Linked DNA regions of Mus musculus. The protein of the gene in region 2 purifies or fractionates together with the protein of the main gene of each other region. This does not show direct contact. Links are inferred from orthologs where the notes say so. Each region holds a gene or a part of one and is shown on either strand. Other genes may lie near its edges. The genes, in order: Abhd10 and Kcmf1.

What was found.
Region 1: the proteins of Kcmf1 (region 2) and Abhd10 purify together in Homo sapiens (affinity purification with mass spectrometry; 3 studies listed by BioGRID and IntAct, counting the BioPlex papers as one, with this or other methods). This does not show direct contact. The link is inferred for Mus musculus from reciprocal best matches to the Homo sapiens genes KCMF1 and ABHD10.

What each region holds. Positions count from the first base shown.
Region 1 is NC_000082.6:45,734,661-45,742,997, reverse strand, and holds the start of Abhd10 (mycophenolic acid acyl-glucuronide esterase, mitochondrial isoform 1 precursor), read left to right. Parts: upstream 1-42; 5' UTR 43-106; coding exon 107-221; intron 222-2,495; coding exon 2,496-2,679; intron 2,680-5,362; coding exon 5,363-5,474; intron 5,475-5,967; coding exon 5,968-6,105; intron 6,106-8,337. UniProt on the Homo sapiens protein: Acts as an acyl-protein thioesterase that hydrolyzes fatty acids from acylated residues in proteins.
Region 2 is NC_000072.6:72,894,735-72,903,688, forward strand, and holds the start of Kcmf1 (E3 ubiquitin-protein ligase KCMF1), read right to left. Parts: upstream 5,246-8,954; 5' UTR 4,896-5,245; coding exon 4,880-4,895; intron 4,559-4,879; exon of another isoform or gene 4,246-4,558; intron 4,192-4,245; exon of another isoform or gene 1-4,191. UniProt on the Homo sapiens protein: E3 ubiquitin-protein ligase which accepts ubiquitin from an E2 ubiquitin-conjugating enzyme and then transfers it to targeted substrates, promoting their degradation by the proteasome.

The DNA.
Region 1 (8,337 bases), on a different chromosome or scaffold from region 2:
CAACCCCCACCCCCACCCCACCCCGCTCCCCGCGGACTGCGCGTGCGTGACCTCGGGACCGCGCGACCTGCGCGCGTCTGTAGCGGGCGCAGGGGCAGCTGGGAAGATGGCGGCCTGGGCCCCTTGTCGGAGGTGGGGCTGGGCGGCTGTGTCCTTCGGCCGGCACCCGGGCCTGAGCGCGTCACTAGCTCGGAAGCCCCCACGGGCATGGTGGCTCTCAGGTTAGTGTACGGAAGGTGGGGCACTGGGGCTCTTTGGAAGGCCCGGCGACCGTCCAGTGCCCGTCTGGAGCCGGCTTGGCGCGCCATTTAAAACTGCTCTGGCTGTCTCGGCACTGAACGCTGCTGGGCAAGGCTAGGGGAGTCTGCTTTTCTGCTGAGGCCCTGCGGCGTTCTTGGAAGTCCTTGTTAGCGGTTACACTGCGATTTAAGGAGTTCCTACGTCCTCTGAATCAAACGTCAAGAGCAGAAAGAAAAAAAATAAGATGTGCATTTAATGTGTTTGGTTATTAGCTGCTCCTAGAGCTTTTCATATGGATATATGTCAAGTGGTTAGCCTTGCCTGTCATGGACTTGAGGAAACAAAGTATGTATGTATATACATGTAAATGCTGTCTTTAGACCTAATATCTGATTGTTCTTGTTTAAAGAATTGGAGTTACTCTACAATGGAAGCTAAAATGTGGATCAGTAGTATTACATGCGTAGAATACATGATTTGTGTACATGTATAGTTATCCTTAAATAACATCCTTGGTGTCCTCTTCACATCTTGCCACACAGCTATTAGATAGCTACATAGTGCTTGGAATACTAATGCCATTATATAACAAGTTTAGTTTTTTCAAGTATGTAATCGGTTTAACTTAACACTGTACATACACACACACAAGTATGTCAGTTCGATAACAAGAGTAAAATATATTTTTAAATTTCTTTAACAGTATTCATTGACAATATATGCATCAGGCTTTCAGCTAATCTATATTATATAAAGATGATTTATAGATTGAAGGTTGGATCTGTTGTTTTATAGCTAACAAACATCACTTCAGAGTAACTGCCTGAAATGAAATTTATTTGTTGGGAGGTAATGTCTGAAAGGGGATAAAAGGATACTTTGAGTATATAATTAAAGAAATGGAAAATGAACATTAATATTGATACAATCTATTGACCAGTAAACTGATCCCCTGTAGCCTTGTTTTAAATCCAGTTTTAAACTTGGCACATTTTTCCAGAGACTAAAACCTTGAATCTGTTTGACACAAACAAGGGATAACTTTAAAGCATTTGATTCTTTGTGTGTGTTTGGGGTCGGGGGTATGGATTGTTGATGTTTGTGAGACAGGGTTTCACTACATAGCCTCTGTCTTTCCTACAACTCATTGTACAAAACAAGGTGACCTGGAAATGGTAGTGGCCCCCCCGCCTGTGGCTCTTGTGTGTGTGGTTATTGGGGTGCACTGTCAGACTCTCTACTCATTATTTTTTTTCTCGAAAATAAACTGGACAGATTAAAAATGGGAAAAAATCTTAGCAGTACACATGGGAGAGACCCAGGCGCTTTCATTAGCAAGATGAAGGGCTAGTAAGACTGCTTAATCTTTTTCTTTTTTAAATAAAGGACTAGCAAAGATGGATCAGCAAAGTAAGCCCTGTAAGGTTCCCCATTTGTCCTGCCATATGTAAATAGTTCTAAGGTATATATGTGTTCCATTTACCAAAAGCCAGCCAACAGAAGTAAACGCACCAGTTAGAGAGCTGTTTGAGAAGTGTATTTCCAAGAATGATACTTGATCCAAACTTATCTTTAAAGGAGCGCGGCCTTCTGAAACTCCACATGCTGGAAATGATGGTGCTTTGTTGCCAGTCGCTTGCCCTTCCTGGGGACGATTGCTCAATGGTGATCTGGTCATAAACAGCGCAGCACTGTGGACATCCTTCCCTCTTGGCTGCCTACGCTGACGACTGATGAGGGTTTTACCTCTGCTTCCCAAAGCCTGGGGTTGCAGGTGCCTAAGACCTTGCCAAAATTATTAGAAATAATTTGGTAAAGAGGAAAGAAAGAAACAAAAACACACATACATTTCTTTTCCCCTACTCATCTGGTCAAAGTAAAAGACATGAAATTCCTGAAACATTGTTAAAACAAGAAAGAAATCTCAGGGGAAAAGCTGAAAGTGATGTATTTAAATCTAAATGTTAATTGCTACTGTTTAGGATAATCCCATGGTGCCAACATGAAGATATTTTTTTGATGAATCTCTGTCTTTTGTTTCACTGAAATTGTTATTTCATTCTGTATTTTGGAAAGTATGATTGGGTAAAAAGGTAAAAATTTTGATGCAACTTTAAAACTTAAAATCTCATACTTGAAGCTTATTTTAATTTTCCTATCAAATGCAGTGGGTTAAAGTTAAAATGTGAAAATATGTGTGATTTTCCAAAAATATTTTTTAAAGTATAATTCACACTTTGTGTACTTTGTTTTAGCTTGCAGACAAAAGGCATCACTTTCTTTCCTTAACCGATCAGAACTTCCAAACCTGGCTTATAAGAGGTTAAAAGGCAAAACCCCAGGAATTATCTTCATCCCTGGCTATCTTTCTAACATGAATGGTATAAAGGCAGTAGCAGTTGAGGAGTTTTGCAAATCTCTAGGTCACGCCTTTATAAGGTAGGAACAATATATTTCAGATAATATATTACCATTTAGTATTGTAATGGAGCCAACTAAAGTCAATGCCAGCATTTTAGTAGATGGAGTTATTTCAATAGTGTGCAGACTTTGGTCTCATGATTTAGGGTCTATAGGGTATTTGTGCTGTGCTGGCTAGATGGGCAGCAGAGGGTGTCATCCGGGGGCTCGTCACTTAGTTGTTTAGATACAATGATCTGTGTGGCAAAGAAAGTATACCTGTTGGGTTTCCTATCATACCTTGTGATTATGGGTTTTGCACTAAAGACATAAAGAACTCATGTGGCCGCTGTTTATTACTCTCTACCACGGGTGTTTGAAGCTGAGAGTATAATATAGCATACCTCAGGGGTAGAGCATTTGTTTAGCACAAAAATCCCGGAATCAGTCCCTAGCACAACCCACAAAAGACAAGGTTTTTCAGTGTAATATAATATTGTAAGATTAATATTGTATAATTTACATTTCCGTTTTCTTTGTTCTTTTTTTATTATCTGACTGTGTGTGGTTATAAACAAGGATATTATATTTGTACCTTTTCACTCATTTTAATAAAAATGTATTGATGTAAAAAATTGGAATCTCTTACCAAGCTGTTTAGCCCATTAGCTGCAGCAGTAAGGTTAGGTTTATCAATACATTTTTTGATATTTTAATTTTAAGATAGTTTAATGGGGAACGCATTGGTGTAAAACTGAAGAAATAGAATTGAAAGAAGACTTCTTTAAGTAACTTATGAAGACATCAGTAATACTCAGTAGACACAGATATGGCAGGAGGGAAGTGGGTGGACAAGATTTACAAATGAACTCTGGGAAAAATAAAGGGCAGTGCTGTCTGTGGAGAGAGACCATTCATAATCTGATTCATATCTGAGGAGAACGTTCACAATCAGAAATACTGCTGCCATTGCTTTTCTTTGTCTGAAAAGTAATCTTAATAAAGAAATGAGCATCTTAGGGCTGGGGAGGCAGTAGTGAGTGAGGCACTTTCTGTGCAAGCGTGAGTGAGGATCAGAGTTCAGCTTTCTGCACCCAGCCCTGTAAAAGCCCAGTGGCTGAAGCTGCCCACCTGTCATCCCAGCATTTGGAAGGCAGAGAGAGGGATCTCTTAGCTGTTTAGCCCATTAGCTGCAGCAGTAAGCCTCAGGCTCAGTGAAAGACTCTACCTCAGTGTATAAGGTAGAGAGTGATCAAGGACAATACTTGATGTCAGCCTCTGGCCCCTACAACCATGTGTACATGTACCTATACCACATACATACATGCACCCCTCACACATGGGAATACATCCACACATATGCCACAACCCACATAAAATAGAACTCAACATTTTACTGAGTTTTGAATTTGATTTGAGACTGAGAGCTATAGCCAGTTCCAGGCATACTGTAGTTTTCTGCATATTGGATGCTATATAAATACACACTTATAAACAATAGCTCTTTTACGACAGATTCTTTAATTAAGTTCTTTTGTGTAGCATTGTAATAGTGGTGAGTGTAGGAACCTTCCGAATTCATTGTATGTCTACATGATTATGTGCTATGTGAGCATGACCATGCATGCATGTGTGCATGTGTTTGGAAGCCAGGAGACAACGCTAGTTGTTATTTTTCAGGAGTCATTCACCTTATTTACAGAGACAGGACTCCTTTCAGTGGTTTGAAGCTTCTCAAGTAGGTTAGTCTTGCTGGCCAAGGAGCCCCTGATCTACCTGTCTCTGCCTGCCCAGCACAGAGACTGCCTCAGGAAAGTTCACAAAATGAAGAGATGTGACTTCAAGAAGGACTAGTGACTGGTTTGGTGGGGAAGGAAGACTTTATTGGCAGTGGAATGGCATCCAAAGTTCATGGTTATAAAGGATCTGGCCAGGAATTAGGAAACAGTTCGGAATGACTTGTGATTTTGATAATCTGTGTCCATGATAGGATACCTCATAATTTATTGAGTTGGGACCTTGAAGTAAAGGTAAAACTCAGAGATTAGACAGATGTTGAGCTTGAATCCCTAGGAAAATTTAGAAGGCGGGGTTCATGGTGAATCTGATATGAATCTTGAGGAGCAGTAAGTGCTATGAAGAAAATACAGCGGGAAGGAGTGCAGAGCTATGGGAGAAGCGCAGTGGTAGCACGGGATGCTCAGAGCCAGCTTGGCATGAGCTGAGGCATCTCTAGTGGAAAGGAGAAGTGTGCTAAGTAGAGGTGAAAGGTCATGGTACAGGAAGGGGTGGTGCATACTGTTTAACTTCAAGCGAGAAAATAACAATAACTGGCGAGGGAAGGAGCTCAGGAAGAGATGAGGTCGGGGAAGCATGCTAAGGGCTTTGAGTTTTAGTAGCTACCCAGCATGCACTGTAGTATTTCATTTGGAAGGATCATTCTGACTACGAGAGAAACTGAGAATACCACTGCATTGGTCGAGTTGAGATAATAACGTGGACTAAGCTAAGCAGCAGTGATGATGGAAGAAAGTGATGGACGTGAGAGGTTCTTGGAAGTTAAGCCAGGAGGATTTACAAAATGCATGTTGACTGATGTTTACTGTAGTTAGGTCACGGCAGTAATGGAAAATGCTCTTCTTTGCTTTAAAGTCAAAAAAGCAAGCCTGGACACATTTCAGACACTGAGGTATAAACATATTTCTTCTTCTTCTTCTTCCAGGTTTGACTACTCAGGGATTGGAAGTTCAGATGGTAACTTAGCAGAGTGCACAGTGGGGAAATGGAGAAAGGATGTCCTTTCCATACTTGATGACGTAGCTGAAGGACCGCAGGTGACCATTTTTGTTAAGTAGACTGATCTTTGACTCAAGTGATATTTATTTTGTCTCTTTAGATATAACAATGGATAATATTTTGTCAATTTTGATAATTTCGATTTTGATGAACAATTTTGATTTAAAATTATTGTATTTTTACTTTCTAATAAGCAATAAGCACTTTAGTTCTCATTGAAAAATAACTTTGCTTTTATAGTTCTATATTATAGACATAATGACCTTACAGAAGTTAATTATATTGGGATACAGGGACAGATGCTGAGTTCAAGATGAACCTAGTCTACAAAAAGAGTTCCAGGACAACACAGTAGAAACCTGACTCAAACAAACAAACAAACAAACAAGTTAGTTTAATTGAATTTTACTTTGTGTTACATATTAAAAGTCTGCAAGGATATAAAAGATACAAAGTGTATATATTTCTATTAAATCATTCTCTTTATAGAGTATGAGAGTCCTCTTTGAAGTCATGCATACTTGTTTTTAGATACTGGTTGGATCCAGTCTTGGTGGATGGCTCATGCTGCATGCTGCAATTGCACGGCCGGAAAAAGTCATAGCTCTTATTGGTATAGCTACTGCTGCAGATGGATTGGTGACACAATATCATGCACTTCCTGTTGAGGTAAGTCATGAGCCATTTGGCCACCCCGGGGAGTACTTCCTATCTTCTGCCTTTTCTCTCTCTCTACTTATTCACCATCTCCCTCTACCTTACTAGAGTGACCTGGCTTTTGTCTTTGCTGCCCTATTGCTTGGTCTCTTGTTTTTTTTTTTTTTGTTTTTTTTTTTTTGTTTTTGGTTTTTCGAGACAGGGTTTCTCTGTGTAGCTCTGGCTGTCCTGGAACTCACTTTGTAGACCAGGCTGGCCTCGAACTCAGAAATCCGCCTGCCTCTGCCTCCCAAGTGCTGGGATTAAAGGCGTGCGCCACCACGCCCGGCTTGCTTGGTCTCTTGTTTTAAGGTTTCCTTTTCTCATTCCTCTTTCTAAAACATCCTGCCAAATGCATGAGACGTGGCACTGAAGTCATGCTTCACAGTGTCCTCTTTTGCTCAGTTTTCTTTATTTCCTTTACCTAATGGAATTCCATGTCACAGTCTACTTTTTTACCCTCTTACTCTCAGTTCGTGGTATGTGAATAGTGCCTGTTCTTACATCATGTGAGACTGGACTAAACAGATGTAAAACTACCTTCTTTAGCCCAAAAACAGACTTATGTTCTCTGGGCAGCAGTTATCAGCTAATTAGAGGCAGCACACCAGGGGTAGAGGGGTTTTTTGTTTTTTTTTTTTTTGTTTTTCTGGCTTTGTTGCTTTGTTAGCATTCTTTTCGAATAATTTTTGTGCTGCATCAAAAGAAAAGCAGGGCTTTTCACCAATGTTCTTCAGCGATTCATGGTAAAAATGAAGGGTCTGAAATAACTGGGAAGGTAGCTGTTCTCTTTAGCTTCAATTGGATATCCGTTTAGGCAGTGTTCTAGTTAGGGTTCCTATTGCTGTGATGGAACACTATCACCAAAGTTGGTGAGGGAAACGGTTTGTCTGGCTTGCACTTCCACATCACAGTCAATCACTGAAGAAAGTCTAGGCAGGACCTCACACTGGGCAGGAGCCTACAGAGGCCATGGAAGGGTACTGCTTACTGACTTGCTCTTCATGGCTCGTTCAATCTGCTTTCCTAGAGAACCCAGGACCACCAGCCCAGGGATGACACCAGCCACAAGGCTCTGGGCCCTCCTAAAAATGATGTCCAGACTTTCTACAGCCCCGTCTTCTAGAAACATTTTCTTTTTTTCAATTTTCTTTATTTTTCTTTTCTTTTCTTTTTTTTTTAAAGATATTTTATTTATTTTATGTATATGAGTACTCTGTACACTGTCACTTTCTTCAGACACACCAGAAAAAGGCCTCAGATCCTGTTACAGATGGTTGTGAGCCACCATGTGGTTACTGAGAATTGAACTCATGACCTCTGGAAGAGCAGTCAATGTTCTTACCTGCTGAGCCATCTCTGGAAACATTTTCTTAATTGAAGTTTTCTTTTCTCACATGACTTTAGATTGTGTCAAATTCACATAAAACTGTCCAACACAGACAGTTATGTGCAAGGACAATGGAATAAGCAACATCTATACTTTTGTGCATTTTTTTACTGCATTCATTTCAGTTTTCCTCACCTGTGGAACTAAGTTCCTGGTAAGCCAGAGACAATAAAAATTAAAAGGGAAAAACATTATTTCAAAATGGGTTCCAGACCCACTATCAATCTTGAATTTCATTCTGAATCAGACATGGGAGATATGCCCAACAAGTTCCTCCCCACAGTAGAGTTTGAGAATCAGGTTTGCAGAGCCCAGGAAGAAAGCAGCAGTGGGGAGGGGAGTCAAGGGGACACAATAAACGTGTATAACTTTGGATAATAGAACATTACTGATTTCTGCTTCAGGTTCTTTAAGATTTCAGCTGTGGAGCATCTGAGTTTGTTCTTAGTTCATGTTGTTCTCAGTGGCATTGCTGGAGATGAGGGGATAGCTCAGTTGTTAAAATGCACGACATACAAGCTTAAGAAACTGAGCTAACCCAGACCCATGCTGTTTTGTTTTGTTTTGTTTGTTTTATTTTGTTGTTTAAAGCTGATAGGCTGGGGAAATGGCAGAAGAGATAAAAAACACTTGCCCCTTGCCTGACAACCTGAGTTCTGTTCTTGGGACTGACATAGAAAACCAACTCACGTGGATAGTGCTCTGGCTTCCACACAAGCACTGTGGCACACACATGCATCCTCACCTTTTCCCCACAAACAAGAGTAATAATGGAAGAGATGATGATGATGATGACGACGACGATAGTAATAATA
Region 2 (8,954 bases):
AACTGCCACGTCTCTTGAACAAAGAAAGACACGAACTATCTTTTTAATAAAGAGTAGCAGAGAACAGGCTTAAGTACTTCAAAGTGATACAAAGCTGTAAATCCCAAAACTTAGTCACCTGGGTAGAAGAAGTACAGAAGTTCAAGGCCAGCCTGGGCTATACGAGACCTTGTTCTCATAAAAAAGAAAACAAGTAAGCAAACAAACAAAAACCCACTCAAACTATTAGAATCAAAATATATTTATTCCCTCTGAAGCTGTGGAAAATAGGGTGAGAGGTGTCATCAAGTAAAGGCAGTTGTCACACAACCCTGGTGAACACAGTACAAAAGCCATAGAATATGCAGCTCTATAGTTACAACACAGAAGTGAGCCCTAAAGTTAACTTACACACTGCTCCACACACCCTCTCACGCATGTGCACTAAATAAAAATTGGGCCAAAGCCGTATGATCCAAGTTGGCAAGCACTTGGACATCCACTTGTTTCTTATCGTTTTGTCAGCCCAGCTCAGGCTGCACTGCCTTCAGAGACTGTCTACAGACACAGCTTTCCTACCAGGCTTAGAGTTGAAGCCTGTGTCTCCTTACATTCTGGGTACCTAGCAGTGCCTTTCACATAGTAATGGAAACAGTCCAAGGATTTAAAGCTATCTGTGTTAACCCAGGTAACCAACTAGAACACCCATAACTGAGCTCATGAACTACATAATCTGACAGGTTTTTATTTACAAAGTTATTTCCTGATTTTCAAACTCTGAATCGCATACATTTTAAATATGTTGTTTACCAAAACATGTTAAGATTTTTTTTTTTTTTTTGTGGTACAAGATTTTGCTTCAACCTCCTGACAAGGGTGCTAGCAGCATAGACATGAACTTGAAGTGCTGTTTCTTGAACTTAAGTGCTGTCTTTTGACAGAGAAGTACAACTAGGATGGCAGTGAATTCCTAGGTTCAAAGGATCCTCCTGTCTTACTCTAAGAGTGGCTACAACTAATATTAGGTGACACCACACATGCTTCCTTTTATTTTCCTTTGGTGCTGAAAAATAAACTCAAAGCTTACGCTGCAGGTTAACCACGTACTGCAAGGCCAGGGATGCAGCTTGGCTGTAAAGTGCTTACCCAGCATGTATGAAGCTCTGGGTTCAAGTCCAACACTACATAAACCAGACATGGTGCTACGTGCCTGTTAGCTGGGAAGTTGAAGGAAGAAAACCTCAAGGTCACTCTTGGTCACAAAAACTTCAAGACCAGCCAGAAACCTATGACCCTGTCTCAAAAATAACAAGCAGAACAACACATGTGTTCCACAACTGAGCTATAGTCCTAGCCAGAGACAGTTTAAAAAAAAAACCTAGAAAACAGAAAATGACTGGGTTTGGTGTAAGACAGAAAACTAGATACTGTTGACAGTATCAACTGTTGACCACACAGAGTGACTTGGTGCTAGTACCTAAGAAATGTTTGCTAACATGGCAAGAACATTTCAAAATGAGGTGAAAAAGAGGCCTTGGAATTCTCCCCAGTCAAGTCATATAGCAACAGGAATTTCACTGTTGTGGAGACCCGCCACTCCACTAACACCTACCTGAAAAGGTGGGTGTTATTCACCAACCCTTCTGCTCCTAAGGGGCAGGAGTTGGTCAGTCAGTCCCTGTACTTGCTCAGGACCCAGCAGAAACAGATACACCAAGGGTCTGGGCCCTTTCTGGTCTCCCACCAGCTGCAGGACCCCCAGCTCTACAGCTCCAATAGGTCAGACAACTACAGAGCTTGGATCAATTTTGGCCTCCACCAGTTCTTGATGGGCCTCACCAGCTAAAAATGGCTTTTACATTTTTAAATGGTGGTGGTGGCAAGATTTCAAGGAACCATATTTCATGACACATGAAAATTTTATGAAATTCAAATATCAGGGTCCATAAAAAAAGTTTTAAGTGGAACACAGCCATAACCACTTGATTAGCTGGCTTTCCTATGACAACTGTGGTAGTGACAGATATAGTTGGCTAAGCCTATGTTTTCTGCTTGGCCCTCTACTTTAGAGAAAGTACGCTAAGCCTGGCCTAGAGCCTTCTCTGTGCCCTTGGCTGCACTGGTGTTTCTCAGAGTAGTCCAGTGCTTGATCTTGACAGGTGTTCATCTTGGGGCTGTGTGGTCCAAAGTCACATCATCTGTATACTACAGAGCAATTGGTTAGAGTTGGGAGAAGACAAAGTAACAAGTTACTTGTACACATGAGGCTGGAAAGCAAGACCTAGGCAAGAACATTACAGGCTGTACAGCTCTGCCCAGAATTAGACTCCAACATCCAGTTCTGGGTCAGACTCCCGAGGAAAACAACTGCAGAGAATGTGGAGGATAGATGATTAAAAGAGCTAAAAAACCAGACCACTAAAAAGTGTTGTGCTAGGAGAGGCTCAGGAGGGAAGCAGATACAGGAAGACTGGATACATGGGGGGGGGGGGGGGTGGGGGGTTGGGGGAGGGCTGAAAGTGTGAAGCCAGTCTCTCCTGTGCAGTGAGATCAGACCAGCCAGGAATGGGCACCATGATCCTGTGTCAAAAGCAAAGATGAAGTAAACAGGATTAGCTGGCCCAAAGAGAAAGGTAAGCAGAAAATCTGGGATTGTCAAATCCCTCCTGATGAAAATAATTACTGCCTGAAATAATATACTGCAAAATATTGACAAATCTCATGAACAGATGTGATTACTGAAACTTTTGACTTAGGCCAAAACCTAGACTCTTAAACTTTCTAACCCTGTTCAAGGTCTGAGAGCACACCCCTGTTGTCACAGTTTGGGGAGGCACAGGCAGGCAGGACTCTTGAGTTCCAGGCCAGCCAGGGCTACTTAGTGAGACAGTGTCAAAATAAAGAAAGAAAATAGTAAATTTAATTAATGTATTATGTAAATATAAAATCACCTGTCAAACATTGCTCAATACCTTCAACACATCCATTTAGGAAACATCTGGCATTAAATTGCCAAGAAAGGTGTTGGAAAGTTTCAAGATGTCAAGTAATTAAAAGGTACCCTTTCCAAGACTAAAGAGGGAATGATGATGAGCTTAGATCACACAATATTTTATTGAAGGATGCTATACCTACCTAAGCCATTTTAATTACTCAAACACACCATCTGAGGGTACTTTTTCCAGGCTACTGCTCATTAAGACTATTCCGTCTGCTTCTTTAAGGCGATTGCTATTCTGTTATTTTAATCTGGTTCCTGAGTTGGAGCCTGAACTTCATGCTCACTTTCACTTTGTCTTGAAGGTGGTCAATACACCAACTGATGCCATCTAAAATTAACCTCACCATCTCCAAATGGAATTTGACTACAACCTTAATGAAGACTTTTTTCAAGTGCGGTGATAAGGAACACACTCCCATTAAGCTTATAAAACGGTTTAGCAGGTGAGTTCCCAAATATTTCTTTTCATCTGACTGAGGCTAAATTAAGTACCCTGCTATTTATTTCAAAGTGACCAACACATTAACAGTTAGTAATCAAAAATGCCCCATGCTCTTCCCTATCATTAGGTTTTTTTTTTTAAATAAAAACTCTCCAAACATAAAATGATCAGAGTCAATCACAATCTTGCCTTTAGAAATGCAAATTCCGAAACTTTCACTAAATGTATGTTAATTGATCTGAGTTTGTCACCTTAGAAAAGCCAAGGTCTGTACTTCCCTAAGAATGCCCTTCCCTCGGCGATAAACTGCCTCCTCAAACTTTCTTCACTTCCAAAACACCTATACAGGATTTGGAAAATCTTAGGGACTCAATTATTTTCAGGTCACTTATACAATCTTCCATTAACCGTACCGAAATAAACTTTTCACTAAGTCGGTGACTACTTTTAAAGGTAAAACCTGCTGTAGTGAAACAAAGAGAACATAGCCCCCTCCCCCCTTCCTAAACCATATGGTAGTAAATTCAAGTTAACTTATTTTTTCGCCAGTTCATCGCCCATCCATCGGCCTGAAAACACTTGTGCCTTTGTGCCGTGGGGCTGGGACGCGAGTGGTCTGATTCTTAACCACAGAACCCCAGCGTGTTTCCACAGGGCACCGCGGAAGTCCAAACGCCCCCCGACTGGAAGCCTGCTTCGGTGGGCAGCGCACGCGGGTGAGGGCCCGGGACCGGCCGGGAGCAAGTTCCGCTCCGGCGAGGTGACGGAGCAGGGAGTTTGCTCACCGCGGCCGGGCTGGATCCGCCCCGGGAACTTGGCTTACCCGAGCCCAGGGACGCGCAGAGGCCTACCGCGAGGCCGGGCGAGCTCCAGTCACAGAGGGCTGCCCGAGCCCGAGCCGCGGCGTCTTCCCGCCCGCACGGCCGCGGCCCTCAGGCGGGGCCGTCGCTCGCCCGCGGTCTCCCAGAGACCGGACGCGCCCGCGGGGCCCGGACCCCGCTCCCCCTTGTCGCGGCCGCACGCCCGAGACCCGGCTCGGCCACGGCGCCCGGCTCTTCCGGGAGCCGCCGCAGCTAGGCCGCGCCGGGGCCCCGCGGTTCCCCCGGGCGGGCCGGCCGGGCCTCGGCGTCCGGTATGTGTCCCGAGGGCCAGGCTCCCGCCGGTAACGGGCCCCGCCGCTTCCCCTCCCCCTCTCCCGCCCCATGACAGTGCAAAGCCTCCGGCCGCCCGGCCGCCCCGCCTCCGGCTCCAGGCCCAGCTCAGGGCCGCGGCCGCAAGCCACGGTTGCGGCCGCCGCTCCCGCTCGCTCTTCGGGCCGCGGTGGCCTCGGGTTCCCCAGCCCCGCGACTCGGGCCCGGCCCGCGTCCCCGCCGGTGCCCCGCTGCCCTCGGCGGCGCCCGGACTTCGGGCGGGGTAGGCCGAGGCCCAAGCGGTGGGGGCGGGGGCTCGGCTCTCACCTTCATGTCGGGACATCCTAGTTCAGACGCTGGCGGCGCGGCCCCTCCCGGGCTCCCGGCTGCAGTGTGCCCCCACCGCGGGCTCCCGGCGCTGCCCGCGCCCGGCCGGCCGACTCCCACTCGACTCCCGGGCTCGGCCGCGGGGGCGGGGTGGGCAGGGGAGCGCTCCCGCGGCGGCGGCGGCGGCGGCGGCGGGGAGGCGGCGCGGGGCGGGAATGGGGCCGGGCCTGGCCGGGGCTGAGCTCCTCCAGGAGGCGGGTCCGACGCGGCCGCGGCTCCGCCGGCGCCCGCCGTGACTCGGTCACTCTCGGGCCCCCGCCGGCTCCCGGCAGCGGCGCGGCGTCCGCAAATCCCGCTCGTCCCCTCCCCCGGCCCGCCCCCCGCCCGTCCGTCTCCCGGCTCCGGCCGCCGCCTCCTCCTCCTCCTCTTCCTCCTCTTCCGCCTCCTTCCGCCCGCACGCCCGCCCCGCCTCTCGCCGCCCTGAGGCCCCGCGGCCGGCGGGCGACCGTGCTTGGCGGCGGTCCTGCCGCGGTCCCGCAGGCACCCGAGCCCAGCCGCGGCCCGCCACGCTGCGCGTGGGGAGGACGAGGACGCGAAACGCCCCCGACGTGGCTCCCCAGCGCCTGGGCGCGCGGCGGCCGGGCCATCGCAGACGTCCCGGGGACGTGTGTGTGTTTGTGTGCTGCTTTGAAAGCCGGGGACCCAGAAGGGAATGGCAGTCGGGCCTCCGGGGCTCGCGGGTCCCCAGACCCAGGGGGAGGCCGAGGCCTAGCGAGCCGGCTCGGCCGCCCGCTCGAATGCGCTGCGGGAAAAACTTGGTGGGCTTCGGGGGTACTTTGCTTCCGGCTGTGTGTGCAGGTCTTTCCCTCCACCCAGGCTCCTTACAGGCTACTTTCTCTTCAGGCATTGCTAACTCGACAAACACTTGAGACTACCCCTGACCACGTGTCAGTGGTGGCGTGGCGCAGGTAGAACAGATCGCGCCCTGGAGTTAAGACGTGTTCAGCCCTGGGATTCTGGTTCTGATATGCTCGGTGTAACCTTGAACAAGTGACTTAACCTTGCTGAGCCTTCGCTCTAAATTGGTTCGCTTTGGGTGGTTAATTTTGCCTTGGTAGTCTCGAGATTGGACAAAGTTCCCAGCTAAGTTTACTGAAACTAGGGTCCAAGGTACTGCTTGCTTTGGCGATTTTCCTAATTTGCCCACCCTCCACCGACTGTGGGACCTGGACAAAGCGTTGGTTGCCTTAGCTTCTGTGACTTTCAAAAAGGGCAAGCATATCAATAGATGCAGGAGAGATACAGTACCAAGATTCGACGTGTAGAGTAGCAAAGGAAGGACCCTATTTGTTACAATATTTTATTGAATATGATTTAAGATATGTCTGGTTTTGAAAATACTAAAAGGCTTAATCCGAGAGACTACATAGTAGGTCATCCCTGTCTACCCAAGAAACTAGCTGTAATTAAATTGGGGGTGGTTTTGAGGCATGACCTCAGATAGCCCGAGGCAGTCCTTGAATTGCTCAAGTAGCTGATTCTGACCTTCCCATCTCCCAGGGGCTGGAACGAAAGGCATCTTCCACCACACCCCCACCTAATTTGGGTTTAAATGAGGACTAGATAACAAATATTTCTGTTTCGGGTGTGGAATTCCGCACACTACAGACCGGCCTGAGGAAGACTATGCCTAGTAGGGCTTACAAAGGGAGAGCAGGGTTTGTAGTTAGCCTGATCGACATCCTGGTTAGTGGGTCCTTTCTGACAACCCTACACATTTTATTATTGGCAAGTGATCCTGGGTGTAAGCCAGTTCCCTGAACTTGAGCTGTGAAAGTCAGGCTAGCAGCTCTTAACGCATACACAGGTGGTGAATAATGGTTTTTTATAAATTTGTATCAAAGTTTGTAAGCAGTTCTGTAAAAATGCTGGAGCATTTAGAGTAGCCAACAAAAGCAACACTTCCAGAAAGGAATACCAGTAAGTATGGAAAAAACTGGGTGAAAATAGAAAGGAGACTATTGAGGAGGAAGAAGGGGCTGGAGCTGTGAGGTGAAGTGTGCCCCAAGTCCCAAGTCTACGGAAAAGTCACTCAGGGTTGTGTACAGGCATGATGCTAGGGGAAGAAACATTAAAAACAAGTCTTACTGTATTGAAGGGTTAGCTAGTTTTTTTTTTTTTTTCACCTGCCTCTGCCTCCCAAGTGCTGGGTTTAAAGGCCTGTGTTACCACTGCCCGGTAGGGTTAGCTAGTCTTGTTCATGGGAGGAAACATAGCTTGGTCTGACCTCCAAGGGACTACCATGTTTTTTTGACAGTGATTTCATTGTTAGTATCCCAGCTTAGCCGTGAATCTCCAGCTCTTCCTGCCCTAGATCTCCTTCCCATGCCTCCTTGGTTTCCCCCATGTCCAGTTGAAAGTCACAGGTATCTTTACCAAACTTACTGTGTTCCATAGATGGCCCAGTTCTAGTCCTTAAAACAACAGTCAGATAAATCCTAATGAGATTTAAATACCATCAGTAGATCAGCAGACAATAGCTGCACCTTTTTGTGTTTTTCTGTACTTCTTTAAGGTTTTAAGATTAGGGGGAAATGAGCCAGGCGTAGTGGCACACATCCTTTAGTTCCAGCACATGGGATGCAGAGGCAGGCATAGCTCCCAGCCTGGTCTCCATGGAGTGTTCCAGGACAGTCAGCAGAGCTACACTGGGAGACCCTGCCTCAAAAAGACAAAAAAAAAAAAAAAAAAAAAAAAAGATTAGGGCAAGTGTCCAAGAGAAGGGCCAGAGAGATGGCTCAGCGGTTAAGAGCACTGACTGCTCTTCCGAACCCTGAGTTCAATTCCCAGCAACCACATGGTGGCTCACAACCACCCGTAACAAGATCTGGCGCCCTCTTCTGGAGTGTCTGAAGACAGCTACAGTGTACTTACATATAATAATAAATAAATCTTAAAAAAAAAAAAGAGTCCTGTCAGTCCTGTTAAAGCATGAAATAAGTCACCTGGACACAAATGACGTGAGCAATCCTATGCAGCAGAGTGAGGCTTGGGGAGCTAGATAGTCTACTGAGGACTTTTGAGATCATATTCTCTACTGTACTTGTAATCTTGACATTGCTGGGTATGCTTGTCAGAGTTCTGAACTATGAACCTGTCCTTAAGCAAGAAAATCAATAGTGTCTGGGCTCAGTGGCTCAAGCTGTAATCCCAACACTCAAAAGACAGAGTCAACCTGATTTACATAAGAGATTTTTACCTCAAACAAAAGTATGACTAGAGGTAACTCAGCAGTTGAGCGCACAGAAGTCAGATGGCCTACAAACACCTATAACTTCAGTTCCATGGGTTCCAATGCTCTCTTCTGACCTCTGCAGGCACCCTTGTATGTGAGGCACACACACGTAAATAAAACTCAGGTGTCTGGGTTTGGTTTGTTAAAGAAAAACAAGTTCCAAGCCAGCCATCTCATAAGGAAAAAGTACTTTGAAAAAAAAAAAAGCAAGGTGGTGGCACACACCTTTAATCCCAGCAGGGCCATCTCACTCAGAGTTCAAGGCCCTGGTGTTCCAGGACAGCCAGGTCTACACAGAGAAACCCTGTCTCCAAAAACAAAAGACAAGCAAGAGCCAGGCATAGTGATACATGCCTGTTCTGGCATTTAGGAGTCAGGACAAAGCCAGCTAAGCTGCACTGGTACAAACAAAGAAGCACCAAAAGGTCTGGGGAGATGGCTCCATGGCTAAGAGCACCCAAGAGCAACTCACAGCACCCAGGTCTGGCTCTTCACAAAAGGTCTGGGGAGATGGCTCCATGGCTAAGAGCACCCAAGAGCAACTCACAGCACCCAGGTCTGGTTCTTCACAAAAGGTCTGGGGAGATGGCTCCATGGCTAAGAGCACCCAAGAGCAACTCACAGCACCCAGGTCTGGCTCTTCACAAATGCCTCCAACTCCCGTTCCGGGCACCTGTCACCCACCCTCTTCTGGCTCCAGAAGCACCAAAACACCTGTGGCATACGCACATAAATTGAAAGTTAAAAAACCAGGTGAGTTCCTGCGAGCTGTAGGTAGGG